Linked DNA regions of Cricetulus griseus. The protein of the gene in region 2 binds, or shares a complex with, the protein of the main gene of each other region. Links are inferred from orthologs where the notes say so. Each region holds a gene or a part of one and is shown on either strand. Other genes may lie near its edges. The genes, in order: Nup85, nucleoporin NUP188 homolog, Cetn2, Nup205, Nup107, Cetn3 and Nup160.

Region 1 (4,374 bases), on a different chromosome or scaffold from region 2:
AACAAACTTCTAAGCTGGGCAGTGGCGGCGCATGCATTTAATTCCCAGTACTTGGGAGGCAGAGACAGGTGGATCTCTGTCAGTTCTGTGTCAGCCTGGACTGCAGATCAAGTTCTAGGACAGGCTCCAAAGCAATACAGAGAAACCCTGCCTCAAAAACAAACAAAAAACAAAAATCCACCCCTCTGTTTGAACCCTGTTGTATGGCATCTATCTCTCACCAGCTGCTTTTCTTAAATTACAACATTGGTTCCCTGACTGAGATGGCTCTCCTGGCGGCTTCTCCTGCCCATAGGCAGTTTGAGGTATGCCAGGACCTTCAAACCTGCTTCACATCCAACAGCCTCTCTTCTCCGGATCTCTCGGTCTTTCCATCCAAACTCGGCATGATTGGTGAGACTCTCCACCTTTCCCACCATAGCTGTTCTTATGAGTGAGGAATCCTCTCCTCTCTCGAGTGTAATTTCTCCCCTTTTGGCCTCCTTAAGTCCTGGTATCAGAAACCACAGCTCGCTCTGGCTTTGAGCTCTTAGCCCCCAACCTTTGTGTGATGACCCACTGGGTGGCCTGTGCCTGTCTGGTTTCTCAGAACCTCAGGCCATTCAGACCCTGCCCCTTGATTGACGATTCACCCAAGCAGCTTGTGCCTTTCTTGCTAGATCCTTGCTTGACAAAAGCCACTGGGTCTTGCTCTGCTCCACTCACTGGGAATAAGCCGACCAAAAATGCTCTTCCCGGCACTTTGTAATCACTGCGTGCTTGAACCTCACCCTCCTGCTCCACCTTCAATAGACCCGCTCTTCCACCTGCCGCAAAGCTGCTTTTTCATTCACTGATGGCTCTGCCTTCCATTCAATACCAACCATTGGTCTCTGGTGGGGTTATCCACTTCTGACCATTGCCCTGCACGTGAGGCTTCCTTTCTGGAGCATGGTCCTTTCCTCCCCTCTGGCTTTTCTCGAAGTCCTGGTAGCTGGGGACTGTGTGTCTCTTGAGCTCAGAGCCCTTGGTCCCCACATTTCAGTGACGCCTCACTGGGAGGCCTGTGCCTGTCTCAAAATCAACCCTGTCTGAATTCCTGGGATGCTAGGAATTGCAGACCCTTGGGTCTTACTTCTCTGCCTCACTCATGGGAGCTGTGTCATCGTCTATACCTCCTTGCTCCCACTGGAATGTTTTTTGGAGAGTCACTGACCATTATTTATTATATATACAATGTTCTGCCTGCATGTATCCCTGCAGGCCAGAAGAGAGTGTCAGATCTCATTACAGATGGTTGTGAGCCACCATGTGGGTCCTGGGAATTGAACTCAGGACCTCTGGAAGTGCAGCCAGTGCTCTTAACCTCTGAACCATCTCTCCAGCTCCCACTGACCATTCTTAATCAGCCATTGTGGCAGCACTACCAGCTGTTGGCCATAGAACTGGAGGCACAAGATTATCAAACATGACCAGGTGATGGTGTGGTGATGGGAAAGGCACCTGATGGTCCCTTTCCAAAGGGCCCTGCCTACATCCATCCTTCTCTCTTTCTTTCTCTCCCCTCCCCCTCATCCCCCTCTTTCCCCTTCCCCCTCTGTCACACTTTCTTCTCTCCTGCTGCTCCTGTCCCTGGAGCCAGTCTCCCCCCTCCTCTTTCCCCTTTTTATGATCCCTTTCCCTAATAAAAACCCTCTGCTTGAACCCTGTAGCGTGGCGTCTTTCTCTCCCACACTGCTTTTCTTAAGTTAAAACAAGATGGTCCTGCCTTGCAGAGACAGAGGACTGACTTGTAAGCTCCTTGCTTTTTCCTTCCCAGTTGCAGGAGATTAAACCCCTCTGCAGTCAGGTTTTCTGCTTTAACATCAGTGTCTGTACTTTGAGTAAAGTGGAACTTGCTGCAGATGAAGCCGGGGTCTTTGTGTGTGACATGAGTCTCTCCCCTCAGCTGGTCCTCTCCTCCTCCATCTTCTTGACTGGGTCCGACTGCACGTGTGTGAGGTAGACAGTTTATCGGCAGATGTTCTGGGCAGTGAGAACCCAAGCAAACATGAGAGCTTCTGGAACTTGGTGAGTATAACGTGGGCAGCCCCCTCCTTCCTTCTGCCTTGCATTCTGCATCCTGGTGCTGTCAGGTGGCTATAGAATGACGACTGCTCCAGGCCTTGGCTCGGCTCTTTTGAGTTTCTGATCCTAGCAGCGGTTTTACATCTTTCTTTGTCTGCTGCAGAGTAGTTTCAAACTAATTTAGCATGAAGGGTAACACTTGCTGTTGGAAAGGAAGTTTGATTTGTTTATAGAGCTGAGGAAGAGAAGGTAAGATGGTCAAAGTGGTTGATGGGGACTAAGGTGGGGATGGAGTGCAGATGAGCACAGTGGCTGTTCTGAGGTAGACTGCTTAGGGCCGTAATGTAAATAGCAGATACTTACATTAGGATTTATAACTGTAGCTCGGGGTGGTGGTGGCAGCGCACGCCTTTAATCCCGGCACTCGAGAGGCAGGGGCAGGCAGATCTCTGTGAGTTCAAGACCAGTCTGGTCTACAAGAGCTAGTTCCAGGACAGCCTCCAAAGCCACAGAGAAACCCTGCCTCAAAAACAAACAAACAAACAAACAAGGATTCATAACAGTAGCAAAATACAGTTATGAAGTAGCAATGAAGTAATTTTATGGCTGGGGTTCCAGCATTAGTAAGATTGAGAACCACCGATCAGGGGCTTGTGGCATCCTAGAATACCTGCCGGCATCTTCGAGATCACAATCTCTAGCATCACCAAAAGAAAAAGAATATCCTTGGTTGTTTTATTTTTGGTTGTTGTTGCTGTTGGTTTTTTGTTGTTTTTTGTTTTCCTTTGAGACAGGGTTTCTTTGCTGTGTGTGTTTGTCTGTCCTGGAACTCTCTGTAGACCAGGCTGGCCTTGACACCTTGACTCACAGAGATCCCTACCTCCTGAGTACTGGGATTAAAGGCTGTGACACCACTGCCTGTCTGCTTTGGGTTTTGAGACAAGGTCTCCTTATGTAGCCCTACTGGTCTGGAATTTTTGTTGTTGTTGTTTTTGACAGGTTTGGGTGGCGTGGTTGCCTATGTTCCCAGTGATGTGGTGCTGGGGATGGCCACCAGCCTAACTCTTAAGTTCAGTGAGAGATCCTGTCTCTAGGGACTAAGTCATAAGTGCTGATCACCTGATAGTCCTCTGGCCTCCTCATGGTACACAACTGTACACACACACACACACACACACACACACACACACACACACACACACACACACACACACACGGGTGTTAAAACATTTAAAGTTGGTTGCCAGCTATCTTTAAACTGACAGTTTGCTAAAGGAGTCATATCTTAGGGTTGTTATTCTTGTGATGAAATACAATGGCCAAAAGCAACTTGGGGAGGTAAGGGCTTAATTTACATAGCCCAGAGTAATAGTGCATTGAGAGAAGCCAAGGCAGGAACTTAGACTGAGTAAGATCCTGGAGACAGGAGCTGAGGCAGAGGCCATAGAGGGGTGCTGCTTGCTGGCTTGCTCCTTATGGCTTGCTCTGCCTGCTGTCATACAGAACTCAGGACCACCATCCCAGGGATGGCCCCACCTACCATGGGCTGGGCCCTCCCAAATAAATGACTAATTGAGAAAATGCTTTCCACCTACCTACAGCCTGATGCTATGGAGGCATTTTCTTGGTTGAGGTTCTAGCCTCTCTGATGACTGTAGCCCATGTCAAGCTACTTTAAAATCAGCCAGCACAGGGTATGACTGGGAGTCACTGCTGGAAGGGAGGAGTTCTTGCTGACTCGGGTCAAGGGCAGCCTGGAGGCATCAGCACTTTGGAGTAGCGAGCCTTCTGCTGGGGGCTCTTGGCTCCCATCTCTTTGCAGGTGACTGTCTTGGTGCTTCAGGGCCGGTTGGATGAGGCACGACAAATGCTGTCCAAAGAAGCTGATGCCAACCCCTCCTGTGCAAGCATGTGCCGCATCCTTGGGGACCTGATGAGGACAATGCCCATTCTCAGTGTATGTGGGAGCCTCCTTGCCTGCCCGGCCTTGGGAGATAGGGATCAGGGAACGTGTAGGTCTGGGGTCTCAGTGTCTCACAGCAGGCCTGTCCCGTCCCGCAGCCTGGCAACACTCAGACGCTGACTGAACTGGAGCTGAAGTGGCAGCACTGGCGTGAGGAATGTGAGCGGCACTTGCAAGACAGCACGTTCGCAGCCAGCCCCCGCCTGGAGGCTCTCTGCAAGGTGTGGGCGGGGGCAGGCCAGGGCTGGGCACTTCTTTGGGAACCTGGCATCCAGGCAGCAAGCAGCTGGATTTTCTTTGGAGAGGGCTGTCCGGTCACTCGGCTGCAAAGGAGGGAGAGCTTTCAGCTTCTAGTTGAGGCCCCC
Region 2 (4,374 bases):
GCTACAAGAGAGTGTCAGGAATTAAGGAAGGTCTTTAGAAGAGCAGCCAGTGCTCTTACTGTTCTCAAGGAGGATAGAGATCTGTAACTCATGGCAGACTGCTTCCCTAACATGTATAATGTCTTGGGTTCCATATCAAGCACTACAAGGAGATCTTTAAAAAAGTAGTGGAGAGCTGCAAAGAAAGCCCGCATCCCTACTCTAACTGCTACATAGATCCTACCGTGGCCAGACGTTTCAGCAGCTGGATGGCCAGACGTGGCAAAGCTGGGTCATGTCTGTGGTAGATGTACTTGGCTAGGACAGCAATGAGGTTGTTCCCATGGGCACCTGAAGCAAGGAAAACACAAGAGCAGGGTGCCTATTAGAACTCTTCCAAAACATTTGTCCACTGTGCCAGAGTAAGTCCAAGTGGCCAATGCATTAATGGCAAAGATTTTGTTTTGTTTTGTTTTTTGTTTTTTGAGACAGGGTTTCTCTGTGGCTTTGGAACCTATCCTAGAACTTGCTCTGTAGACCAGGCTGGCCTCGAACTCACAGAGATCCACCTGCTTCTGCCTCCCGAGTGCTGGGATTAAAGGCGTGTGCCACCAACTCCTGGCCAAACATATATTTTTAAGGAAATACTGTTTAATAAATAAGTTACAAAAGCCACTACACTGAAACTTCAAAAAAAGAAAAAACCTTAAGCCTTGAACCTTAAGCAGGAAAGCTAGTGAGACAGCTCAGTGGATAAAGGCCCTTTGCAAAGCCTGACGACCTGATTCAATCCCCAAAACCAACAAGGTGGAGAAGGGGAAGCAAGTCCCACAGTCTGACAAAGTATGTGTTCTAATTCACTCTCTCTCTCTCTGTCTCTCTCATTCACTCACTCACTCTCTGGCTGGCCAAGGAAGAACATGCTTGCAGTCTCAACACTTGGGAGGTGAAGAAAATAGGATCAAGAACTGGAGGAGGGGGTCAATGAGATGGCTTAGAGTATTAAGGTCCTTGCTGTTAAGCCTGATGACCAGAGTTCAACTCCCAGAACCCACAAAGTGGAAAGAAAGAGCTGACTCCCAGACATAATGCACATAAACATAATAAATATTTAAAAAATCACAAAAAAGAGTTCAAGGGCCCCTCTGACTATACAGTTTAAGGACAGCCTATGTCTCAAAGGAAAACAAAATAATTTGGCTGGAGCAGTCACTCAATAGTGGATGGAACACCTGTTACTGTGCATAAGGACCTGAGTTCAACACCTAGCATTGCAAATGGAAAAAAAAAAAAAAAAATTAAATAAATGGTCTTAGACATGATATAAAACATTACTAAAAATGAGAATGAGCCAAAGATTAAACCAATTTAAAGTCACATTGTGATATGAGCCAATGTGTTTTGGAAGTTTTTTTGTTTCTTTTGAGAGGTCTTGTTATATACACCAGGCTGTCAGGGGCTGGTGACAGCGAATGCTAGCTTCACTGTCTTGGCCAGCAGTTGGCTCTGGCCCTTCTAACTCTGGAGTGATGGAATTATAGGCACAGGGGAGGCACACTTTCTATCTCCTTTGTGTGTTGTCAATGCAGTTGTTCAGTTATCTATTCCCTCCCTCCCTCCCTCCCTCCCTCCCCTCCTCCCTCCCTCCCTCCCTCCCTCCCTCCGTCTCTCTCTCTCTCTCTCTCTCTCTGGTTTTTCCAGACAGGGTTTTTCTGTGGTTTTGGAGGCTGTCCTGGAACTAGCTCTTGCAGACCAGGCTGGTCTTGAACTCACAGAGATCCGCCTGCCTCTGCCTCAACCTGTTAGGTAGTCCTCGCTGGCCTTTTATTCCTGCCTCAGTCTCCGAAGGATACTGGCATTTACTATTATGCCATGCTGGATGAGAAGTCCAAGGTAAAACATGAATATGCCTGAGGTTTTCACACAGCTGGCCAAAACTTAAATTTGAAGAAAGGAAATCTGATTCCAGCCTCCAGCCATCTTCCTATGTTGTCAACAGTAGGCCAGAATACAGTATGATTCAGTCCCCTTGTTTTCAAGTCTAGGGAATCTCCCAATGTCCAAACATAGGGCATAAAATATGTCTTTATAGGCAGTAATGTAGCTGAGGAAGAGAAATACATACCATGCTGTGTGAGAGCCTGTTCTAGCGGGGACACCACATTAGAAGGAGGTTTCAGCCGAATAACATTATTGGTGACAGAGAATGCCAGTTTCACTGTCTTGATCAGCAGTTGCCCCTGTCCCTGACCTTCTGGCCCATCACTAGGGTGCAAATGGAAATCACAGTTAATTTAGACAACACGGTTTCACTCATAGCATGTGTATTTTCATGAATCAAGACTCTCCACTAGTTTCTAGGGGCCCAAATCCAGATTAGGAAAGAGAAGAGGCTAATCAGTAGACACTAGCTACAGCCTAGGAAATACAAAATAATTTTTTTTAAAAGGAATCTGCAAGGGCCAGGAAAGCAGTTTTGATACTGTGTATTAAAGAAATGAAATGAAGCTTCACCCTAACAATATGGCTGCTTAAACAAGACCTGAAGGAATACCACACCAATAGACATGCTAAGGAAGGGAAGGGGGAAATCTCACAGGGCTCCATGCTTAAACAAAGAACTACAAGTAAGTAAGGTATGTTAAGAGCAGGAGAAATAGTCTTTTGATGGGGGAAGTGCTTCTGTGTATGTGTTTGTCTTATTGGATAATAAGTAAAGTACTGTTTGGCCAATGAGGCAGCAAGTTAGGCAGGACTAGGAGTAAAGGAGGATTCTGGGAAATGTAGTAAAGAAGTGGTGATCCAGACAGGACATGACATAGCAGGCAGACTCATATAAGGAAGAGCAAGAAGGAAGTCGTTCCTTTCTAGTGCTTTTCCTTCTGGTTTCTGCTCTGGAGCCGCCATGTGATCTGCCAGCAAGAGAGGGCACCAGCAGAAGGCATCCTCGTAAGATAAGTCTTATAAAATATATAGATTTATGATAATTAAGACTGAACTAGCAGATGAGAAATCCTAGTCATTGGCCAAGCAGCATTTGTACCTAATAAGTCTCTGTGCTACTTGGGACCTTAACATGGTGGTGTGCGGAACTTAGGCGGCCTGGCGGAAAGCGCCCACGTGACGGAGGGGCTTGTGCGGCTTTGGAGTAACGACTTATTATTACAGTCTTTTCCAAAGATTAGCCCCTTAACTGATTATTCAATACCAATTAGGCAGGCTTGAAATTATATAAGCAACACCAAACATACTAAACAAGTTGTATTTATATTATTGATACACACACACACACTCTAGAAATGGGGCAGGAACAGAGGAGGCCCTACCTGCGGGGTTGAGCAGCCATCACCATGTCAATGGTGTCCACACCAATCCCCATGATACTGATGACTGTTTGTCCAGCTTCTGTATATGCCAGGCTGCAGATGCAGAGGGAAGGAAGGCTGGGCGTGTGGCTGGAAGACAGAGGATTCTCAATTAGTAGGACCTTTGGAGCTCTTACCTTGGTGTGCCTAGCCAACTGGACATAGGTGAGGTAGATGAGATATCTGCAAAAGGAAGATATTCTGAATCCCATTCTCAGACTTGGTCCTAAGTACCATCCTGAAAAGTAAAGTAAACACCCATCAATTAATGAATGTATTTAGTAAAATAATTCAGGAATAACCCATTCATGACACTTAAGGAAGAATGACAATAAGGAAGTGTAGTGATATATTATTTATGATTTATTAAAGCTTGACTGAGATTCAGAAAGCAAAGTCAGCCACAAGCCATAGAAGCCAGGCATACATCTTTAATCTGTGAGTCTAAGACCACCCAGATCTACACAAGAGTGATCCAGTCCGAAAGAGAAACAGCTCACACAGATGACCTCAGCACCTGGGATCACATGCCTTTAATCCCAGCATTAGGGAGGTATGTAAGACAGGAGCAAGGAATTCATATTAGGCATTGATTGTCCAACCACCCTGAAGATAGGAGGGCACAGCCGGGAGGTGGTGGTGCATGCCTTTAATCCCAGCACTCAGGAGGAAGAGGCAGGCAGATCTCTGTGAGTTCGAAGCCAGCCTGGTCTATGGAGCGAGTTCCAGGACAGGCTCCAAAGCAATACAGATAAACTCTGTCTCAAAACCCCTCACACGCCCCCCGCCCCCAAAAGAGGGCACAGAATCAAGCTACAGAGCATCGAACTCATGGAATAGAAAAGACTAGAATCTGTACTGACTTGGTAATAGGCACCTCTGAGGAGGCACATTAAAGTGGGAAATTACCAATACGGAGCCAAGTAGAAATACAAGGGTATTTAATAGGGAAAAGTTGCACCACATTAAGATTTTCTAATGGAGTGCTGGAGAGATGGCTCAGAGGTTAAGAGCACCGACTGCTCTTCCA
Region 3 (4,325 bases), on a different chromosome or scaffold from region 2:
GCACACATTCCTGTTTTGGTGCCTTGTGTTTCCTTGTTGTTTGTCTTTTACCTATCACCTTTCTCCCTGTAAAAAGTAACAGAAAAAGGTACCCTGTGTATATTTAACCTGAAACAATGATCTAATGATAAAAGTTGATTGCAAATATCAATTAAATCAGCTTTACAGTGTTCCCTAATCATTTTCACCATTTTGTTATTATCATCAATAGCCATTTTTGCGTCTACATCATTTATATGTGTTTATTTAGATGATCCTGTTTTCGTTGTAGGTTGCAATGAGGGCTCTGGGCTTTGAACCTAAGAAAGAAGAAATCAAAAAGATGATAAGTGAAATTGATAAGGAAGGGACAGGAAAAATGAACTTCAGTGACTTTTTGACAGTGATGACTCAGAAAATGGTAAGTTAGTTGAGATAATGAGCATACTTCCCATCCATAATGGTAGATACATGGGAATCTAGACATAAAAAGAACTTCATCCAATAAAATCTATACCATTCACATGATTGAGCATTGTATTTATAATTAAGAGGATCCCTAATTTTCATTTGGCTTTCTTTAGGGTTACGGTATCACAGAAATCATTTTACCTTGTCTCATATGACCATATGATAATCACAAGCATTAAAACATGTTAACACAGAGATTTTCATATGCTTCTCATTTTTATTTTAATATTATTAAAATTAGATTAGCATACAATAAATCAGGTATTGTGACATTTTTCGGACAAATGCTTCTCATTTTGACAATTCAGTATGTACAATCACAGGCACAAGAATTTTGAGCTTTAGAATAGATAAGGTGTTTTGGTACTTCTAAGGTTCCTTTCATCTATTCCTAGTTTCTTAGATCCTTTTAGCAGACCAACTTTGCTCTTACATTGGCCTTCTGGCTTATTGGTGTGGCTCCTTCTCTCAGTATACCTGAAGAAAGGTTACCCTTTCAAGTTCCTCAAAGTGTTTCCCAGGCACAGGTTGGGAATTGTTTTGAAATCACCGTATCTACATCTGCATTCATGTATGTGCATGTGTGTACTGATTTAAGAGATCAGGAAGCTTGGTATTCTGCAGCTCTCTAGCAAATCCATTTCATACTCAAGATTGGCTCCTAGATTGCTCTAACTAGTTCTCTAGTTGTAACTCCTGGCAAGAACCTTCATTAAACATTTGAGGTTTAAATGCTTTGGAAAATTCTACTCTTTCTGTTAGAGTACTCAGAGACCCAGTAATTCTTTGAAGTCCATTGTGCAAAATGCCTCTCTTATTAAAAATGCCCTTATAAGTATATCTCTAACTTCTGTTAGCATTAGCAGTGTATTTTCTCTAATTATAACCCTATTTGCTGCTTTTAAAAATGTAAAAAAGAATCTAGAATCTCCTTGGTCTGTACAGTGTTTTAGATACAATTATATTTCCTTTGTAATCCCAGAGTTTATGTTAAGTTTACTGAGTTTGTTTTCTTTTTCTATAATGGGTCTTACTTTTTTCTGTAACTGAAGGCATATATCACAAGGGCTATCACCAGGACCATGTGATGATGTGTGATGGGGGCCAGGGAATTAATCGAAGAAGATAGTTTCCCTAAAACTACCCCCTTGGCTTTAGAACTGGGGAAAGTTCTGAACAAGACAAAGCAAAAGAAGGGCAATCCGTATAGATACCTAGTAATATCCAGTGTTGGGTGTTGGAAAGATGAGCCCCAGCTCATGTCAGAAGCCCTTGTCTTCTACCTGTGGAAACTGTCCAGCTGCCCTAGGACTCTGTCCTCCCTACATGTCTCATTGACCCCTCAAACCAATCCTTGTGCCCGTTTATCAGAACTTCTTGGCTTTTCCACCAAGCTGGCATCTGTTCTTACTGAATTATGAGCTGATTATGGAATACATGTTAGGATAGGAAGTAGACAGAGAGTACATTCCACCGTGGACCAGAGAACCTGACTTGCCTGCCTTCCTAACATGGCCCAGGTCAGGTTTTTGGAAACAAAAGGATGACCAAGAAGTGGCAGGACTGTAGGATATGAATAACTATCTGTTTTCTGTTCTACTAAAGTCCGAGAAAGACACCAAAGAAGAAATCCTGAAAGCTTTCAAGCTCTTTGATGATGATGAAACTGGGAAAATATCATTCAAAAATCTAAAGCGTGTGGCCAAGGAGTTAGGCGAGAACTTGACTGATGAAGAACTGCAGGTGCGTAAAGCTTCAGTTAGAAACTCGAAACCTCACGTTGGAGCCCCCTGGCTTTCCCAGGTTCTATTTTCTCTACTAGGAAAACTTCTTATGCCTCTAGTGATAATTAAATGCCCATGGACCCTGCTTCTGGAGTACACATGTGCAGCTGAATTTCCTCTTTTGGGTTTCAGGCCAGGGTTACTTTTCAATTGATACATTTGACAATATATGTGATTTGGTTTCAAATAACTATCATAAAAAGTGGCACACTCACATTAGATGGACCATAGTTATCTTTCCTTATAGCATTATTTGAAGTTTCTTTTTTTAAATTTATTTTTATTTAAATTAGAAACAAGCCTGCTTCACATGTCAATCCCAGCTGTCTCTCCCTCCCCTCCTCCCCCACATCCCACGAAACCCTCACCCCATCCCTGTTCCTGTACCCAAGGAGGGTGAGGCCCTACATGGGGGATTGCCAAATTCTGTCATATCATTGGGTCAGGGCCTAGGCTCTCCCCATGTGTCCAGGCTGGGAGCACATCTCTCCATGTGGAATGGGCTACCAAAGTCCATTAATAACCCCAGGGATAAATACCGGTCTACTACCAGAGGTCCCATAGAGTGTCGAGACCTCCTCACTGATACCCACATTCAGGGGGTCTGGATCAGTCCTATGCTGGTTTCCCACTATTAGTCTGGGGTCCATGAGCAATGCCTTGTTCAGGACAGCTGTTTCTGTGGGTTTCACCAGCCTGGTCTTGACCTCTTTGCTCTTCACATCTCCCTCTTTGCAACTGGGTTCCAGGAGTTCCTTATCTAACCTGTTTTCAGTTTAGTTTGTGACTTAATCTAAGATGAACCCTTACTGCTGTGCAGGAAATGATTGATGAAGCTGATCGAGATGGAGATGGCGAGGTCAATGAGCAAGAGTTCCTGCGCATCATGAAGAAGACCAGTCTCTATTAAGATCACTGCTTCTTTTTCTACTTCAAGCACATGTGACTAGATTTAGTGCCTGCCATTTTGTGAAATACGGCTTTTGAGAACCCTCCTTCCCCAACCTGTGGGTTAACTAGCCATGCCCCTGAATCTATTTTTGACTTTTGGAAGTTTCTTTGATATTAAGTTCTTTGTACATTTCCCTGCTGACTAATTAAACAGGGCAGAACAAGAGCACATAGTGGGGAAAGGGTGTGAAAGTGTGACTGCAGCCACTCCACTTTCCATTAGTTCACATTGCTTATGCATTTTCACACAGCTGCAAACACACAATGGCTTCTTAGATGTCCATGTAGCCATGTCACAATAAACAGTGGTTGTTCTAAAATTGTTCTAGTTTTTAGTTGACACCAGAGTGCAGTTTTTTCCTCACATAAAACCCAACGAATGCTTGTTATGGCATTTAGATATGTGTTAATGCATTTGTTTTGTTTTAAAAATAAAACTTTTCTTAATTTAAGCTCTCATTCTTTAAAGGGATGAGTGTTTTTAACCTTTAACTGTGATTTCATCTTGTAAACAATTCTGTTGAGGGCAGCCTCATAGATATACAAAATTTGCTATCAGCCTATGGACAAAAAAGGAATTAATTCTTTGCTACTTTTCTGCCATGGAAAGTTTCTTGCTTTCAAAAGTTATTTTTACAACTGATAGGATTTCCATATGACCTAAGCCCTAAAACTTCTTCCATCAAACTGTAAAGCTTAGAGAGTCTTCTGGGTAATTTGTGCTTGGACAAAAAGGAGAGAGCTAGACAGTAGTAAGATTCAGGCAATCTTGTGAGCTTATTTGCTTATAGCATCTCATAGCATCTTAGGATTGGGTTCAGAAGAAAAGGGGTAATATCCAGGAGCCCTCTAAGCCCTGCATAGCATTGCCTATGAGAGAAACCCAATTATGTGGCTTTAAAGTCAACTCCATGGTGAAAGTAGGGAACAAGGTGGGCTGAAGGGAAATAGAAAATGAACAATGATTGAATACTTATTGATGCTCATATGAGAAAGAAACGATGGGTTTTTAACTTAATGGAGGCATTCTAGTCTTCTGATGTGTGTGTGTGTGTGTGTGTTCGTTCCATGTATATGGAACAACAATAAAAGCCAGATAGGTGATCATGCTTGTAGTACATAGGTGGAGGAGTCAAGAGG
Region 4 (3,084 bases), on a different chromosome or scaffold from region 2:
AGTTGGAGGCCAGCCTGGTCTACAGAGCAAGTTCCAGGACAGCCAGGACTACACACAAAGAAACCCTGTCTCGAAAAATAAAAAGGAAAAGAAAAAAAAAGATAATGCTGGGCCAGTAAGCGGGCTCTTGCCACCAAGCTCAACAACCTGAAACCCTCACAGTGAAAAGAAAACTGACTCCCCCAAGCCATCTCGGAACCCTGTGCAAGCTATCGTTTCCTTTGGAAGCTTCTCGGGTGTTGAAGGTTGGTAGGTTCACATTTAGTTACTTGTATGTGGTACACTTGTGCCACCATGCACAAACATGCAGAAGCCAGAGGACAACATGCTAGAGTTAGTTCTCTATCTCTACCAAGTAGGTTCCAAAATTCAAATTCAGGCCATCAGACATGGCAGCGAACACCATTATGCACTGGCCATCTTGCTGCTGGTCCAATGCTGTGTTCTTGGGGACACACAATGTGCTGGAGGTAGAGGTCAGTGGCAGAACATTTGCTACCATGAGTGAGGCCCTAGGTTCTCCCAGGATCACAAAAGACTTTAGAAGAGGGCCAGTGCAGCAGCAGGCAGGAGGCTAACATTTTAACATACTGGATCCAGTTATATGCTCACTCATCTCCCCAGGACTTGTGGCTACTATCATGACATTTTCTATTTAAAGGCTGCTTAGCTAGTGGGCAGCCAATTGCTTACAAAATATAACAATGACCAAGCCATTTTAACTACAATGATTAAAAAGCTGGACAAATTTTATTAGAAAATTTAAAACAAAAGCCACCAACTATAATACCATGGACTGACAGCTACACTCTGTGTTCACGTGAGTCAGGATTCAGCCTTCTCGGCATCCTCTTTTGTAGCAGGCTAGAGTTTCTCCTGGAAGGGAAAACATACCACAGGGCAGTGGTGATTATGTAATTTTTTCCTCAGTGGTAACCACATTAGTAAGAAAATAGGTAGATGATTAATTTGAGAATTGTCACAATCCTTTCAAAGAAACCAAGAGAGATTGTACTGCCATTTGAAATGCAGGAAGGAAGGGCAAAGCTACCTTTAGGAGAAGGAGTGGCATTTTTTAGGCATTTCTGTTTTCAGAGCATGAACATGGCTGCAGTTCATTATCTACTCTGCTACAGAGTACCTCAGCATCAAAAGGCATACCACAACAACTGAAAACAAACTGTGCTTTAATTGTGCATTCAGAATCTTTCCAGGGAAAATCAAAACATCTTTATGTTGAGTCTTAATAATTTCAAAAGACTGATTATATATTGTTTTGTTATTTTTTTAAAAAGTATTTTATTGTTCACAAGTGAGGGTGAAATAAGGCAGAGGTTTACAGAAAAGATGTCCATATATCAAGAAAGAAATAGCAAAATATCTTTTGGTCATAATTTAGAAATAAAGTCATCTATAAAAAGGAGATGGTTTTCCTCAGTTCATCTCTTCCACAGAAGAGTAAAAGCACAATTCTCAACTCCTTGATATCCTCAGCAGGCCACGGATACGTCTGACAAGAGCCTGTATGAAACTATAGCGGGATCGAACTTTTGAATACAACCCTTCAATGTCCAGAAGTTTCTTTTGTAGTGATTCTCCAAAAGCATTGATGGCATCAGACTGAAGCTGGAGGTAACACAGAAAACCTTTTATTATTACATTGTTTTCTCAGGTATCTCATCCTTTGTCTTTTCATTTAAAACACTGTTACACTATTCCAATGTGTTCTTTCTTATATAAAATAAGATGGGCGTATACTTCAGAGGCAGACTGTGTGCCTAGCATGTGCCAGGCCTTGGGCTGGAAACCCAGCACCACCACTACCCCATACCTACCTCACCCACACGTACATTCACAAAAGGCATTTTTCTAAAGTTAAACACTATCAGATTTTGCAATGCGGTACCAAATTAATTAAAAGCTTACATTTCTACCTTAGACTGTCTTGTGGTTTTAATTCCTATACAAATGTGATTAAACTAATGATGTATCTATCTTCAATAGCAACAACTGCTGATGCTGATAAACGAGCAGACACAACAGACAGACAAACCTGGCTCCTCAAGGCCATACCAAGCGTTGTTAAGGGGCTTGGTGGTTAAGAGCAATGGCTACTCAAGGAGATGATGGGACAGACTCAGTAGACTTCCTATGAGAGACCTTACCCTCTCTGAGGAGCAATGGGAGGTGGGGTGGTAGGGATTGGAATGTAAAAAATAAATTAATTCAAAAAGGAGCACCAGCTGCTCTTCAGAGGATCTGGGTTCAATTCCCAGCACTCGAATGGAAGCTTACAACCATGTAAAACTTCAGTTCTAGGAGACCCGATGCCCTTTTCTGACCTCTGTGGGTACCAAAACACATGTTTCGCAGATACACTTTCAGGCAAAACACCCATAAGTAAAATAAAAATCAATGTTTCTTGTTTCTTTAAGTTTCTGTGTGTCAGACTTGTGATAGATAAGTTGCTAAGGGCACTTGGTATTCTCACAAAGAACCAGGATTCAGTTTCCAGCACCCATATCAAGCAGCTCACAGCTGTCTCTGACTCCTGTTCCAGGGTATCTGAAGCCCTCTTCTGACCTAATAAGGTACCAGACACACACATGGTGCACATACATATACACAAACACTTTCATATACACATAAGAATTCTTTAAAAAAAAAAGAAAAAAAGAAAAAAAGTGCCTTTAGGGAATAAAAAGAAACTTTTATTCTCTACTTTTATCAAAAAACCAAGTTTCCCTTTTAAAGAAAAAAGAATATGAGGACAGAATCTTACCTGGTCTATATCGTGTTGGCTCACTAGAGCCAGCCCACTTCTGAAGTCCAGATTGGGTTCTGTGGAAAAGGAATCTAGAGATAAGAGACACAGTGAGCAGCTTTGCTAACATGCGCCTGCGGCACAGCAGAGGCACCTGCCGGCAGCAGCACACAGAACACAGTGATTAGCACCTAAACTCAGCTTTGAGCACTGGAAGCCTGGGACCTATCCCAGTCCAGGATAGGTCTCGCCCTCCCTTTAGGAGTCTAACGAATGCTCACCCACATCAGAACCCCCGGCACAAGAACAATGGCTTCTAT
Region 5 (4,374 bases), on a different chromosome or scaffold from region 2:
AAACAAAACTTCAAAGTTCCTCCTTTCTCTCATTTGGTGATCTGAGCCCTTTCTGGTGTCTATGGATCTTCTTTGCTTAGCTGCCTATCTCCATCTTTTGACCATTATTAATCTAGTTGTTTTGTTTCCTATGGTTGAATCTGAAGAGTTCTTTGTACATTGTGGACTTTATCTTTTGCTGTGTGTGCAGGTCTACATTGAACTCACCTGTATATATGCAGCTGTGCTTGTATGTGAGTGCTGAGTGCTGAGTGAGAGAGTGAGAGAAAGAGAGAGAGAGAGAGAGAGATAGAGAGAGAGAGAGAGAGAGAGTAGAGGCCTAAGGTTGTTGTGTTATCAGGTCCCTTTATTGGTCTCGATCTTATTTAGTGAGAACAGTCTTTCACTGAGCCTGGAGCTGCTCTTTTGGCTACACTTGCTCATCAGCAAGCTTCCTGGATCTCTCCACAACTATGTGCCACCAAGTGGTGGGGATTTGAGCTCAGGCATCCATGACTACGGTCAGCCTTTTTCTCATTGAGCTGTCCTCTCTCTCTAGTCTCAGACTTTCCTTTTTAAAGAGTGGATTCCTCTTTTCCTCCAAATAAGGCTCCTACAGCCTCGGAATATGTAAAAAGCAGAGGTCCTCTAACCAGTTCCCCTGCAACCTCAGCACAGAATGGGAATTAGCAGATGAACACACAGCACTGAAATTACTGACCATGGAGGGAATTAATTACCTGACTACCACAGATATTTTCATACTCTTCAACAAGATCAAAAACTGTGGTCGAAGAGTGCTTCAAGAAAGACTGCAGGAAATCAGAGAACATACTCATGGATGCTAAAACACAGGAGACAAAAAGGGACAAAGGATAAGCCACATACTTAAAGAAATTCTAATGCTTTAAAAACACAAAAATAGCCGGGCATTGGTAGCCTACACCTTTAATCCCAGCACTCCGGAGGCAGAGGCAGGCAGATCTCTGTGAGTTCGAGGCTAGCCTGGTCTACTGAGTGAGTGCCAGGATAGGCTCCAAAGCTACACAGAGAAACCCTGTCTAGAAAACCCAACGCCCCCCCAAAAACACACACACACACACACACACACACACACACACACACACACACACACAAAAATAGCTACAAGTCCTTTCCCTCCCTCCAACCCAACTGTATTTCTACTAACTAGTGACTTGCTGAAGGGCGATGGTGGGGCCTGTCTTTAGTCCCAGCACTTGGGAGGCAGAGGCAGGCAGATGTCTGGGTTCAAGGCCTGGTCTATTGAATTCCAGGATAGTCAGGGCTACACAGAGATAATTGTGTCTCAAAAACAAAACAAACAACAAAAGATTCTACAAATTTTTAACAATTTTTAAGTGTGCTGTTCAGTGGCCTTAGGTACATCCATATTGTGGTGTTAACTGTACCAACACCTAGCCACAGAACTCTTTATGTTGTAAAATTTAACTCTGTAACTAATTAATCAGTAACTAATTAATCCAGTCCATATTTCCCTCACCCCCTGGTAACCACCACTCTACACATAAGAATCCTCCTGCCTCCAGAGAAACCCTGTCTTGGAAAACAACAACAACAAAATATAACAAAAACAAAAACAAACAAACAAACAAAAAAGAAACCCAAAAAACAAACAAACAAAAAGAATCCTCCTGCCTCTACCCCTGGAGTGCTGGGATTACAGGACTATGCTATTGTGCCCAAGGTCCTCAGAATGTTTAGATTTCTCCATTTTTACTAGCAGTTGTTACTTCCTAAGTTTGATATATTCGCCCCCACCCCACCCCCACACACCTGCTGTTTAGACAGAGTCCCGCTATGTAGCCCAGGCTGGCTGGCAGGAAATTGCTACTCAGACTAGGCTAGTCTCAAATACACAAAGATCCACCTGCCTTTGCCTCCTAAGTGCCGGATTATAGGACTGTACTACTCTGCCCAGCAAAAAACCACAACAACAACAAAACATATTTTGATTAAGTCCAGGAAAAGGCTTCCTTGATGTGGAAGTAACAAGCTACTTAAATCTCAAAGCCATTACCAGCCTCTCCAGGGTCATCTTCACGTAACATAACAGCACTCAGGTTTACGTCCTCAGTTACACTGTGGGGCTCCACGTTTGTGCAGAAGCCCAAACGCTGTGATGAGAATGCAGCTGCCCAGTTACTGTCATCCAGGTTTGTCACCTTAAAAAATAAACACAGGAAAGCAATGGAGCAATCATCATAAATAAGCAAATAATGAGTGTCAATTTTTTCCATCCTACATGTTTTTCATTTTAAAAGACTGTGATCTTGTTACAGATGCTACAAGTTTTCTTTACTTTTTATTTTATGTGTTTGGACATGTTGCCTGAATGTGTGTCTATGCACCACTTTTGTGTATGGTGTTCACAGAAACCAGAAGAGAACACTGGATCCCCTGGGCTGGAGATAGAGGTAGTGTGTGGAGATGTGGGTGCTGGGACTCAAAACCTGAGCCTTCTAGAGAAGCAGTCAATGCTCTTAACCAATATCTGAGGATTATTCTTTTAGCTTTAAAATAATCTTTTGTTTTACGGGGCTGGAGAGATGGCTCAGAGGTTAAAAGCACTGGCTGCTCTTCCAGAGGCCTTGAGTTCACTTCCCAGCAACTACATGGTGGCTCACAACCACCTGTGATAAGATCTGGTGCCCTCTTCTGGCCTGCAGGCATACATGCTGGCAGAACACTACATACATAAAAAATAAATCTTAAATCTTGTTTTGTTTTGTTCTACAACAAGTCTTATATAGCCCAAGCCCACCTCCAATGCACTATGTGGCTGAGGATGATCTTGAACCTCAGATCCTCCTGCCTGTCTTCTGAGTGCTGGGACATCAGGCATATACTACCATTGAGCCCCAGGCTCTGATGCCCAAAATGGAGGAAAAAAAAAAGGAGATGGGTTTAAGCTCTGACAAAGCAAAGTTAAAAGGCAAAACTACCCTTCAGGAAATACCTAGTCCAGATAACGTCATATGTGCATAAAAATCTCCATGCCTGTTAATAAACCACAATGCCAAAGACAGAACCATTTTGATTTTGGAATCAATATGCCTTGAAAGTCTACTAATATAGCAGTTTTTGTTTCCTTCTTCAACACAATGTATTTTTTTTCCTAGTTCGTATATTTAACAACCAAGTGAAGCCACTGCACATCATAGTATATAACATTTCTTCTGCTGCTTTCAGTACTGTTCCATAGTGACTCCTGAAGACTGTCTCATCCTTCCCCTAAATATTCTCTTCCATCATGGATAGAAAAGCCCAGCTTGGCTTCTTCTGCATTTTCATAGCACAGAGCACTACTGTCACCAATGTGGGCAAGAGGAATCAATTCAGAGGCAGACATGGGTAGGGGTCCTCTAATTCAGTTCAATTTGGATACTGCTTACTGTCAGATCCCACAGGTGGACAGTCTTCTTCCTTACCATGTCTCTCATCTTTGACTAGTCACTTTCTTGTTTTTGTTTTGTTTTCTTTAAAACAGGGAACTCCCTCTGTAGATCTGGGCCTCCTGAGTGCTGGGATTAAGGGCCTCTGCTATCTGACCCTTCACCTCAGTTTTAAGACGGGACCTCTCACTGAATGTGGAGCTCAGTTTTGGCTAGACTGGCTGACCAGTGAATTCCAGGTTCTGCCTGTCTTTTCCCATGCCCCCATAGGAGCCCCCAGCTTTAGGGTAACAGTGTTGCCACACACGGCTTCCACATTAGTGCATGGAATCTGAACTCAGGTCTTATGCTTATGAGGCAAGCAGTATACCCACTGAGCCACTAATGAACATGAGCCATTAATTTCTTTGTAATTAAAAATGGCCAGGTGTGATGGTGTATGGCTTTAGTCCCAGCACTTGGGAGGCAGAGGCAGGAGGATCTCTGTGAGTTTGAGGCCAGCCTGGTCTACAAGAGCTAGTTCCAGGACAGCCTGCAAAGCCACAGAGAAACCCTGTCTCAAAAAAAAAAAAAAAAAAGAAAGAAAGAAAGAAAGAAAGAAAGAAAGAAAGAAAGAAATCCAGAACCAAAACCAAACAACCAACAAAACAGGGCTTGGCTTTAACAGCCATCACCAGTTTCATAATACATTTCATTTGGTTAGCAAACAGCCAGATTCAGGTATTTTACCTATATCTAACTGTTGCTTTTGCTGCTGTCATTTTTCCTTCTGTGACATGACATGCTCCAATATTAGATTTTTGTTCAAATATCTCTCCGTAACTTCAACTTTCATTAAGGCTTTTTTTTTTTTTTTTTTTTTTTTTTTGAGACAGGGTTTCTCTGTGTAGCTTTGGAGCCTATCCTGGCACTCACTCTGGAGACCAGGCTGGCCTTGAACTCACAGAGATTCACCTGTCTC
Region 6 (4,374 bases), on a different chromosome or scaffold from region 2:
TTTGATCATTTATCTAGCACTGAAATTTTTGCATTTGGTGGGAAGAATGGGGTTAGTTAAAATTACCAAGAAATTGTTTTTAGGACCTTAGATTTAGGTATAGGTGACAACAAACTCTGGTTCTGTGATAGAGGGAGATTGTTAGCTAGGGCCGAAGTTGTCAAACTGTAGGCCCGGGACTGAATTTGACTGCTTACTCTGTACTACCACCCATTTATTTATGCTGCTTTTCTGCTACCAGATTGAGTGAGTAGTTTAGACTGTGAGCTTAAGTCTCCCAAAACCTAAAATGTTTTTCATCTGGCCCTTTATGGGAAATGTCTCTCAAGTCTTCATCGGAGGAACTAAGCCTTTGCATAGGGGAATTTTAATTTAAATCTTCAGGAATCTAAAATTGCCAAGAAGATTGTAAGAGTAGAGGATATGCAGTCGGTGCAGAGAAAGCAACAAGGCTGAGTGGTAATAGATGCTCAGCATGTTGGAGAAGTTTGATCTCATGTGGTCCCCTCTTCTAGAGAAGGTCAGAGCACTGGGAAGGCAGAATTGGGCCAGACTGATAGTCTTAAGTATTGTACTAAAATTTACAGACTGGGATACCATGTTTTACAAGAGTAGCTGATGAGAAGATTGAAGATGAACTGGAGAAATTCTGAGAAGACAGAAAGTTGTAGACTTTATGGTCAGAATTGCTAGATGAAAAGAAAGGCTTGAGTTTGAGAGTAAAATAAGATAGTGTCTTCAGAGCTGTAGTATCCAGTGGTAACTGGCACTTATGGGATCCAAAGCCTTACCACTATGTTAGAGTGAATAAATGATGCAGTTACCCTTCAGTCAGTGGAGGTCAAGGAGGCAGCAAAGCCCATAGGTGGCTATGGAAGGACTTGAAGGTCCAGTATCTATGAGTTTGAAATAAGTATTGTATGTTTGGATAGGAACTTTCTAATATTGTCTTTCATGATTTTTGATTTACTTTCAATGTAGTGCTTCAGAATTAGTTGTTTCCTTACATGATTTTTATAACGTCTGATGGGAGGACATTTCTGACAGTGTAGTTAAGTCATGTGTCTCTGTAGTTGGTTATAGTGTGCTTTATGTCAATAAAGTGCAGTACTGCAGTATGAAAATTAAAACAAAAAGTGGTTGAATGGATAGAAATTTGGAGTTTTGTGAAACAGGTGATACCTTGACTGTGTGGGTATTAACTGCTTTAAGTCCTCCTACTGGATTGTAGGCAAGAGCCATCATGCCTGGTTTGTTTCTATTGAAAAAGATATTTCTTTCAAATAGTACTTGTAGAACAGAAATGGAAAGTGAAGGTGTGGAAGAATATCACTGTAAAATACTTTATGTTGGATGACGCTCTAGTTGCTCAGAATTTATGGGCAGTTACAAGTCCTAAGAAAGCTGAATTCTAAAGGAGACTATTGGTAGGTGATTATATAGACACATCTATCTGAAATTCTAATAGAGTGTCAGTGGGTAAGTGCTTGTGCATCTTGGCGTCCCATCTGTTGTTTCTTTAAGTGCATTAGTATTTTCGGCAGTCTGCCTTTCTGGTTTACCTGTCATGGATGTTACTTAATCGATGAAATTTCATAACACTTTTTTCTTGTCCTGCTTTCTTGTTGGGACTGAATTCAAAATAAGTTGAGTGTGTGCCATAGAGTTAAGTGTGGTATTTTATTTTGGTGTTATGGCTGTAGGTATGCCAATTCTTTTTACTGAATATTTATGAGCTTTGATTTGCATACTTAGAGTAATATACTTCAATTAGTTTCTTGGAAACCTTTTTTTGGATAAAATTAATGGCTAAAAGATAATTTTGGATATATGTGTAGTTGATATGTACCATTAGCTTGACTGGTGCTTATTCAGCCAAATACAAATGAAATAGCAATAGACAACAACTTGTAGAAGACTTAAATTGTATTTTTTCCACTTTGGGCATATTAAACATTCCAGTACTTCCTGGCTATAGGCATTTGAAATTTTCAAATGAATCTATAGATCCCATTAGGACCAAATTACTTTTGATGGTGTGATGAAAATAATAAATGTCTTTCCCTGGAGCAGAACAGCATGTGGAGTTGCTTCAGAACTGTTTACCTAGATATTTTGAGAATTCTATTAAGCAATATCAAATTTTATAGATGTCAATTTTTATTGACTATTGATTAAAGGCTTATGATGTTGAAGTATACATACTTAGTATGTTGATATGTGGCTTTGTTTAATATATTAAGTCTGAAATGATTCATTTCTATTTAACTAGTTTGAGAATTATTATTTTGTTATATTTAAAAAAGACATGATTTAGACCCCCTTCCAGGGCTGTGGGTTGTGTGATCAGGTTTAATTGTTTTAATCCATCTTTAGTGTTGCTGAAAGTCAACAGGTTCTTTTAATCATGAAGATGCTGATAGCACTTGCACGTGCTAACTTGTTTTATGCTTGTATTAGTGGTGGCAATATCTTTGATTAATCCCTACATCTGAGTTGGGTTAAATTTGAGGAAGAATCAAGGTGTCACTTGGCTAACAGTTTTCACCTACGTAGTGTTCATTGTTCACTTAAACTCAGTGGCCTGATAGAGGTGGAATAGTAACTTTTGAAAAAATTGTTTTATGGACTTAATTATTTTATGTGTTATATTTACTGATATGAGTGTCTTGTTCACATGTGTCTTTGCATCACAGCAAACGTGGTGCCTAGGTCAGAAGAGGGCTTCAGATCTCATGGAACTGGAATTATAGACTCTTGTGATTTGCCATGTGGTTGCTGGGAGTTGAACTCATATGGTCTTTAAGAACAAGTGGTCCTAACTGCTGAAGCATCTCTCCATGCCCAGTTTAATTCTTAGTAATAATGGGATCAATATATATATATATATATATTGTGTGTGTGTGTGTGTGTGTGTGTGTGTGTGTGTGTGTGTAGTCTCTTTTTTGGCCTTTGTACTTACATTTGTAATATTTATTGACACTAAAAGATTACCATTTAAAGTCTGGCTTTGGAATTAGTATTATCTCTGAGTTTGTGATCTACCTTTATATTTAACTTTTAGATGGAATGTTGTCAGACTCACAGATCTCACCTCATTTAATAGCTGATTTTTAAAGATGAATGCTCTCTGACTCAAAAGTTTCTTTTAACTCTAGTGACAGACTGGATATTGGAAAGAGACCCACATGAAGAGATACTGAAAGCATTTAAACTATTTGATGATGATGATTCGGGTAAAATAAGCTTGAGGAATTTGCGACGCGTTGCCAGAGAATTGGGTGAAAATATGAGTGATGAAGAACTTCGAGCTATGATCGAAGAATTTGATAAAGATGGCGATGGAGAAAGTAAGTTTTGCCTTACTTTTTTTCTAAAATCTGTTGAGTTTTCAAGACTCCAAGCAAATTTTCTCTCCCTTCTCCCCCACATTTTCTTTCTCTTTTGTTTTTGAAGATGAGCCTCATGTTGCCTTGAACTTATTTCAAGTTTGATCTTGAACTGATAATCCTTTTGCCTCAGCCTCCTGAATAGATGGGAGTTCAATTGGGTGCCAAACTCTGAGCTTCTATTTATACTGAAGCAGATCTTTAAAACAGCTATGCAAGTTATGATATGAAATATTACACATAACTTCTCTGAAGATGAAATAATACCAAAATGTAGCTGCTTACTAAAATTTCAGACTTTCATGCTTTCCCTCTCAACCTGCTTGTACTTTGAACTATTACTAAATTAGTTGATTTTCTTTCAATCAGTTCTAATTTTTTTGTAAACATTTTTTCCTGCTACTCTGATTCAGGCCCTGATTTCTATTTAAAATATTACTGAATTCTTTCCCTGACTGACTATGAGGTGCAGTGCTCAGTGTGTCTCCCACAGACACATAGGTGTATCTTATAGTCTTCCCATTGCCTTCTGGACTTAGAAGTCTCCAATCTGTTTGTTCGTTCTACTGCTAATATTCTTTCCTTAAACTGCAATATAAGGTTGTCGTTTCTGTGTTCAGACACTGATGAGAAGAGCCTTTACTACCTGCTGAGTAAAGTGCAAAGCTCCCCTATGCCAATCCTGCACTTAGTACCTGGTTTATTTCTGCTGCTTTCTTCTTTCGTACTAGCTCTTGCATACAGAACACTGTATACTGAAGGCAGTTTGTGTTTGCATTTCGTCATGCTGCTTATTCATCTTTAGGGCTAGTTGCCCGTTTGTCTCTTGAAGTGTTACCCACTTTCCCAACCAAGTCCATCTGAAGCACCATCTTTTTTCAAAAACCTCTACAAGGGTGCCTGTGGTTGGTGAGGGTTCCACTGAGGCTTCTAGCATTTAGAGGAGCAAATGGCTTTGATACTTTAATATATTTAATATGGATCA
Region 7 (4,374 bases), about 56 Mb from region 2:
AGCAGGTGTTCTTAATCATTGTGCCATCCTTCCAGCCTGGCTCTGGTCCTGAACTGATCTATTCTTGCCTTTGGTCTGTGACTCACCCCTAAGAGGTCCTACCACATCTTGATAGTGTCCTGAAGACTAAATCTTTAACATATTCAAGATCTAAACTAGCATGTTGACATAGACCAGTGAGTATATGCTAAAGATGTTTTAAAATGACAAATACTTAGAAGGTATTTTAAGAAATACCTTGCAGGCCAGGCGTTGGTGGCACACACCTTTAATCCCAGCACTCGGGAGGCAGAGGCAGGCAGATCTCTGTGAGTTCAAGGCCAGCCTGGTCTCCAGAGCGAGTGCCAGGATAGGCTCCAAAGCTGCACAGAGAAACCCTGTCTCAGAGAAAGAAAGAAAGAAAGAAAGAAAGAAAGAAAGAAAGAAAGAAAGAAAGAAAGAAAGAAAGAAAGATACCTTGCAGAATTGTATAAAGTGGCAGGCAGTATCTGTGATAGGTATAATGGGCAGCGCAGGCAGTAGAGGTGATTAGAATTATGAATTTAAATTCAGACATAATGACTGTCGACAGAACATTTTGGCTCCCTTGTTGTGACTTGGATTTAAATTAAGCGCCCTCCTTCCCCTCCCACACATGCTGCTGCCAGTTGCATTTGTGTCTTATCAGACAGAATCTATTGAGTGTCAGTTCTGATTCAGATACTTCTCTAGGTCTGCAGATATCCAAGTAAACATGGAAGTTACCTCTACACTCAAAGTACTTATTGCCATTTATTCAGAAGCTCTCCTTGAAGAGTAATAGTGCTCAACATGCAGCTATTTTTATATTTTTAAGAATATTAATATTGACCTTTACACAGCAAGAGCAAAACTCATAAAATTGCTATTTTTAAAATATGCTAAAAAGTAATAGAAAGAGAAATGTGCTTATTTATTGTTTGTTTGGTGCTGTAATGTGCATGGATACCTCGTTCCTGAACAAGTGATGGGTGGAGTTAATTTTTATGTAGTAGAATTTACCTTTTGTTTTTGTTTTTCAGGACAGGGTTTCTTTGTGTAGTTTTGGAACCTGTCCTGGAACTCATTCTGTACACCAGTTTGGCCTTGAACTCACAGAGATCCATCTGCCTCTGTCACCCAAGAGCTGGGATTAAAGGCGTGAGCCACCATCAACCAGCAGTAAAATTTATCTTAAGTAAAGTAGGGACTAAGAAAATGGGATGTATATTTAACGTTGCTGTAATGATATTTAGATTTTGTTACACTGTTTTCCTAAGTCTACATAACTTGTCCTTAAATGGAAAAGTGGTCTGAGCCAGACATGGTGGTGCACTCCTTTAATCCCAGCTCTCAGGAAAACAGAGGCCGGTAGATCTCTGAGTTGGAGGCTAGCCTGGTCTATGTAGTGAGTTCAGGGCAGGCAAGGCTATGCAGAGAGACCTAGTCTCAAAAAGAGAGAGAAGAAAAGTTACCCAAATTGTCTAATCTTTTCAAATTTGGAGAGTTCATTAAGGCACTATTATCGTCTATTTTATTGCGGTAGTCATTGAGAAAGAAAAACTTTAATTAAATCTCTCTTTTAACAGGAAGACTTCTGGGGATACATTGGAGCTGGTGGAGGAATCACTGGACATAAATTTGTTGAATAATGCAGTTCGCCTAAAATTCCAAAATTGCAGCATCTTACCCAGTGGAGTTCATGTCTCTGAAACTCAGAATCATGTGATAATCTTGATATTAACCAATCAGACAGTGCACAGGTTAATTTTACCACACCCTTCCCGTATGTACAGAAGTGTAAGTTGATTGTTGTGTGCAATAACTTGTTTCCTATATTATGCTAGCTATCACAGATTTAGGACTGGAATGATATCTTTGAAATGGAAAGAATTTGGATTCCTTGTTAACCAATCATTCTTTATAGTTATTGTTTGAAATAATTAGGCTTGGGGATGTTATTCAGTCATAGAGTATTTGCCTCTCATGAACAAAGCCCTGAGTTCTGTCCTCATAAGTCTAGCTTGTGCTTGTAATCCTGCTACTGAGGAGATGGAAAGAGAAAGATAGAAGTTCAGGATCATCCTAGAGTTCAAGGCCATCTTGTGCTTCATGAGGCCCTGTCTCAACAACAAAAAGATTAAACATTCAAGTTGATAAAATAGTTTTCTTTCTTTAAAAAGGATAGTTTTCATTAGGTACTACAGTATACATCTGTAAGCCATTAACAGGGAGGCTGAGGTAGGAGGATTTAAGTCTCAGAGCAATCTCAGCTGTACAGAGGAGGTTCCTGGCCAACCTGGGCTACATAGTGACAGCCTGACTAGCAGGGACGGGGGGAAGGTTTTTTGTTTGTTTGTTTTGTTTTTAAAGACAGGGTTTCTCTTTGTAGCTTTGGAGCCTGTTCTGGAACTCACTTTGTAGACCAGGCTGGTGCCTAACTCGAAGAGATCCAATGCCTGCCTCTGTTTCCCAAGTGTTGGGATTAAAGGCATGTGCCACCACTGCCTGGCAGGGAGGAAGCTTCATCTCATGCTCAACAATTTTTTTTGGAACATTTGTTTTTATACCTATGAGTGTTTTGCCTGTATGCATATAGATATACCAGATACATGCAGTGCCTTTGGGGGGCAGAGGGCATCATATCCCCTGGACCTGGAGTTACAGGCAGTTGTGAGCTACCATGTGAGTGCTGGGAACAAAACCCAAGTCCTCTCTAAGAGCCACAGGTGCTCTTAACCACTGAGCCATCCTTCCAACCCATCAATATCTTTTTAAATAAACATTTTTAGTAATTGAGAGGAACTCAACAAAATTCAGGTTATTTCAAAACAGATTCTTTTTCATTACAGGAGCTGGTAACTGAAAGTCAAATGCAGTCAATATTTACTGACATTGGAAAAGTTGATTTCAGAGATCCTTGCAACTATCAGTTAATTCCAACAGTACCTGGACTGTCCCCAAGTTCTACCACCTCTGCAGCCTGGCTTAGCAGTGATGGGGAGGCTCTGTTTGCTCTTCCGTCTGCTGCTGGCGGCATCTTTGTTCTTAAACTACCTCCTTATGACTTACCTGGTAAGAATGGGAAAGGAGCATGAATTTATCTTTAGTTGTCAATGTTGACATTAAAACAGGCATTCCATCACATCCATTGTCAGTGTAGGGGTTGAGTCTGCATTTTTCCTGCTTTCATTATTTCTTGCTTGGTCCCTGCTGCATACCTTTATTCAGTGGATGAGGAACTAGATGGGATGCTGGGTATGGGAAACAGATTACATGTATATTAGCCTATTCTAAGTTCAATAGTAGACATAAATTATTAGTTGTTCCACCCTCATACTGAAGTACTGTATTTACAGAGAATGAATTTTGGGACCAAGTTTGACAACTGATCCCTGTTCCAAGTCACCACTGTCTCTTGCCTACATTATTGGATTAATGTCCTAAATGTCTCCAGATCTGCCCTCCCATTTCAGGAACTTCCCAGGCAGATTGATATAGTAAACATTGGTTAGGGGAGACTAGAGAGATAGCTCAGCAGTTAAAAGCACTGCCTGCTCTTCCAGAGGACCCGGGTTCTATTCCAAGTACTCATATACCAGCTCATAACTGTCTGTAATTCCAGTTCTACTGGATCTGATGCCCTCTTCTGGACTTCAAGGGCATCAAAGTGTCATGCTTATATATTTGCATGCAAAACACCCATACACATAAAAAGCAAAATCATGTTACTTCAGTGTTCATCATGATCTGAATAAACCCAGTCTCCATACATTGGCTCACAGTGAGTGCCCCGTTGTCATCTCTAACCTCATTAGTTCATTCTTTTCCCTTGCTCTGTATACCAGCTACATGCCCCTTTGTGGTTCTTTTTTTGTTTTTCTCAAGACAGGGTTCCCTTTGCAATTTCTTGAAGACACGATACATATTCCTAACTTGGAATTCCCCCTCAGTGTTTTTAGTCTTTCATTCTGTCTCCTCCATGAAGCCTTCCCTAACCATCCCTCCACAGCACCAGCAATACTCACTTTTGTCCTTCTCACTATTAATTTAACTCCATTTCTCTCATCCTCCAGCAATAGAATGTTAAGTTTCATGAGGGCAGTTTGTTTACCACTGAATCTCCAACACTTAGAACTACTGCCACATGAAAGTACCTAGTGATTAAGAATGGGCTGCTATCTAAATGGAAAGACATTTTTCCTAAGAATATAAAAAAGATGCTGTTTTTATGGATCTGGTACTGATTCAAAGTATTTTAGTAGGAAAGTACATTTAAGAACCTTGTTAGGCCGGGCGTTGGTGGCGCATACCTTTAATCCCAGCACTTGGGAGGCAGAGGCAGGCGGATTTCTGTGAGTTCGAGGCCAGCCTGGT

Evidence for each region.
Region 1: nucleoporin NUP188 homolog (region 2) and Nup85 share a complex: the UniProt entries of both Homo sapiens proteins name them as parts of the nuclear pore complex. The link is inferred for Cricetulus griseus from reciprocal best matches to the Homo sapiens genes NUP188 and NUP85.
Region 3: nucleoporin NUP188 homolog (region 2) and Cetn2 share a complex: the UniProt entries of both Homo sapiens proteins name them as parts of the nuclear pore complex. The link is inferred for Cricetulus griseus from reciprocal best matches to the Homo sapiens genes NUP188 and CETN2.
Region 4: nucleoporin NUP188 homolog (region 2) and Nup205 share a complex: the UniProt entries of both Homo sapiens proteins name them as parts of the nuclear pore complex. The link is inferred for Cricetulus griseus from reciprocal best matches to the Homo sapiens genes NUP188 and NUP205.
Region 5: nucleoporin NUP188 homolog (region 2) and Nup107 share a complex: the UniProt entries of both Homo sapiens proteins name them as parts of the nuclear pore complex. The link is inferred for Cricetulus griseus from reciprocal best matches to the Homo sapiens genes NUP188 and NUP107.
Region 6: nucleoporin NUP188 homolog (region 2) and Cetn3 share a complex: the UniProt entries of both Homo sapiens proteins name them as parts of the nuclear pore complex. The link is inferred for Cricetulus griseus from reciprocal best matches to the Homo sapiens genes NUP188 and CETN3.
Region 7: nucleoporin NUP188 homolog (region 2) and Nup160 share a complex: the UniProt entries of both Homo sapiens proteins name them as parts of the nuclear pore complex. The link is inferred for Cricetulus griseus from reciprocal best matches to the Homo sapiens genes NUP188 and NUP160.

The regions. Positions count from the first base shown.
Region 1 is NC_048600.1:128,167,041-128,171,414, forward strand, and holds part of Nup85 (nuclear pore complex protein Nup85), read left to right. Parts: intron 1-1,927; coding exon 1,928-2,049; intron 2,050-3,868; coding exon 3,869-4,003; intron 4,004-4,107; coding exon 4,108-4,230; intron 4,231-4,374. UniProt on the Homo sapiens protein: Essential component of the nuclear pore complex (NPC) that seems to be required for NPC assembly and maintenance. As part of the NPC Nup107-160 subcomplex plays a role in RNA export and in tethering NUP96/Nup98 and NUP153 to the nucleus.
Region 2 is NC_048599.1:141,984,055-141,988,428, reverse strand, and holds part of nucleoporin NUP188 homolog, read right to left. Parts: intron 3,435-4,374; coding exon 3,306-3,434; intron 2,245-3,305; coding exon 2,105-2,244; intron 331-2,104; coding exon 224-330; intron 1-223. UniProt on the Homo sapiens protein: Component of the nuclear pore complex (NPC), a complex required for the trafficking across the nuclear envelope. Required for proper protein transport into the nucleus.
Region 3 is NC_048604.1:2,890,640-2,894,964, forward strand, and holds the end of Cetn2 (centrin-2), read left to right. Parts: intron 1-271; coding exon 272-400; intron 401-2,055; coding exon 2,056-2,193; intron 2,194-3,054; coding exon 3,055-3,144; 3' UTR 3,145-3,637; downstream 3,638-4,325. UniProt on the Homo sapiens protein: Plays a fundamental role in microtubule organizing center structure and function. Required for centriole duplication and correct spindle formation. Has a role in regulating cytokinesis and genome stability via cooperation with CALM1 and CCP110.
Region 4 is NW_023276806.1:192,700,837-192,703,920, forward strand, and holds the end of Nup205 (nuclear pore complex protein Nup205), read right to left. Parts: intron 2,857-3,084; coding exon 2,783-2,856; intron 1,627-2,782; coding exon 1,474-1,626; 3' UTR 1,171-1,473; downstream 1-1,170. UniProt on the Homo sapiens protein: Plays a role in the nuclear pore complex (NPC) assembly and/or maintenance. May anchor NUP62 and other nucleoporins, but not NUP153 and TPR, to the NPC.
Region 5 is NW_023276806.1:138,575,358-138,579,731, reverse strand, and holds part of Nup107 (nuclear pore complex protein Nup107), read right to left. Parts: intron 2,184-4,374; coding exon 2,039-2,183; intron 824-2,038; coding exon 720-823; intron 1-719. UniProt on the Homo sapiens protein: Plays a role in the nuclear pore complex (NPC) assembly and/or maintenance. Required for the assembly of peripheral proteins into the NPC. May anchor NUP62 to the NPC. Involved in nephrogenesis.
Region 6 is NC_048595.1:302,239,050-302,243,423, forward strand, and holds part of Cetn3 (centrin-3), read left to right. Parts: intron 1-3,158; coding exon 3,159-3,350; intron 3,351-4,374. UniProt on the Homo sapiens protein: Plays a fundamental role in microtubule-organizing center structure and function. As a component of the TREX-2 complex, involved in the export of mRNAs to the cytoplasm through the nuclear pores.
Region 7 is NC_048599.1:86,086,241-86,090,614, reverse strand, and holds part of Nup160 (nuclear pore complex protein Nup160), read left to right. Parts: intron 1-1,586; coding exon 1,587-1,797; intron 1,798-2,849; coding exon 2,850-3,072; intron 3,073-4,374. UniProt on the Homo sapiens protein: Functions as a component of the nuclear pore complex (NPC). Involved in poly(A)+ RNA transport.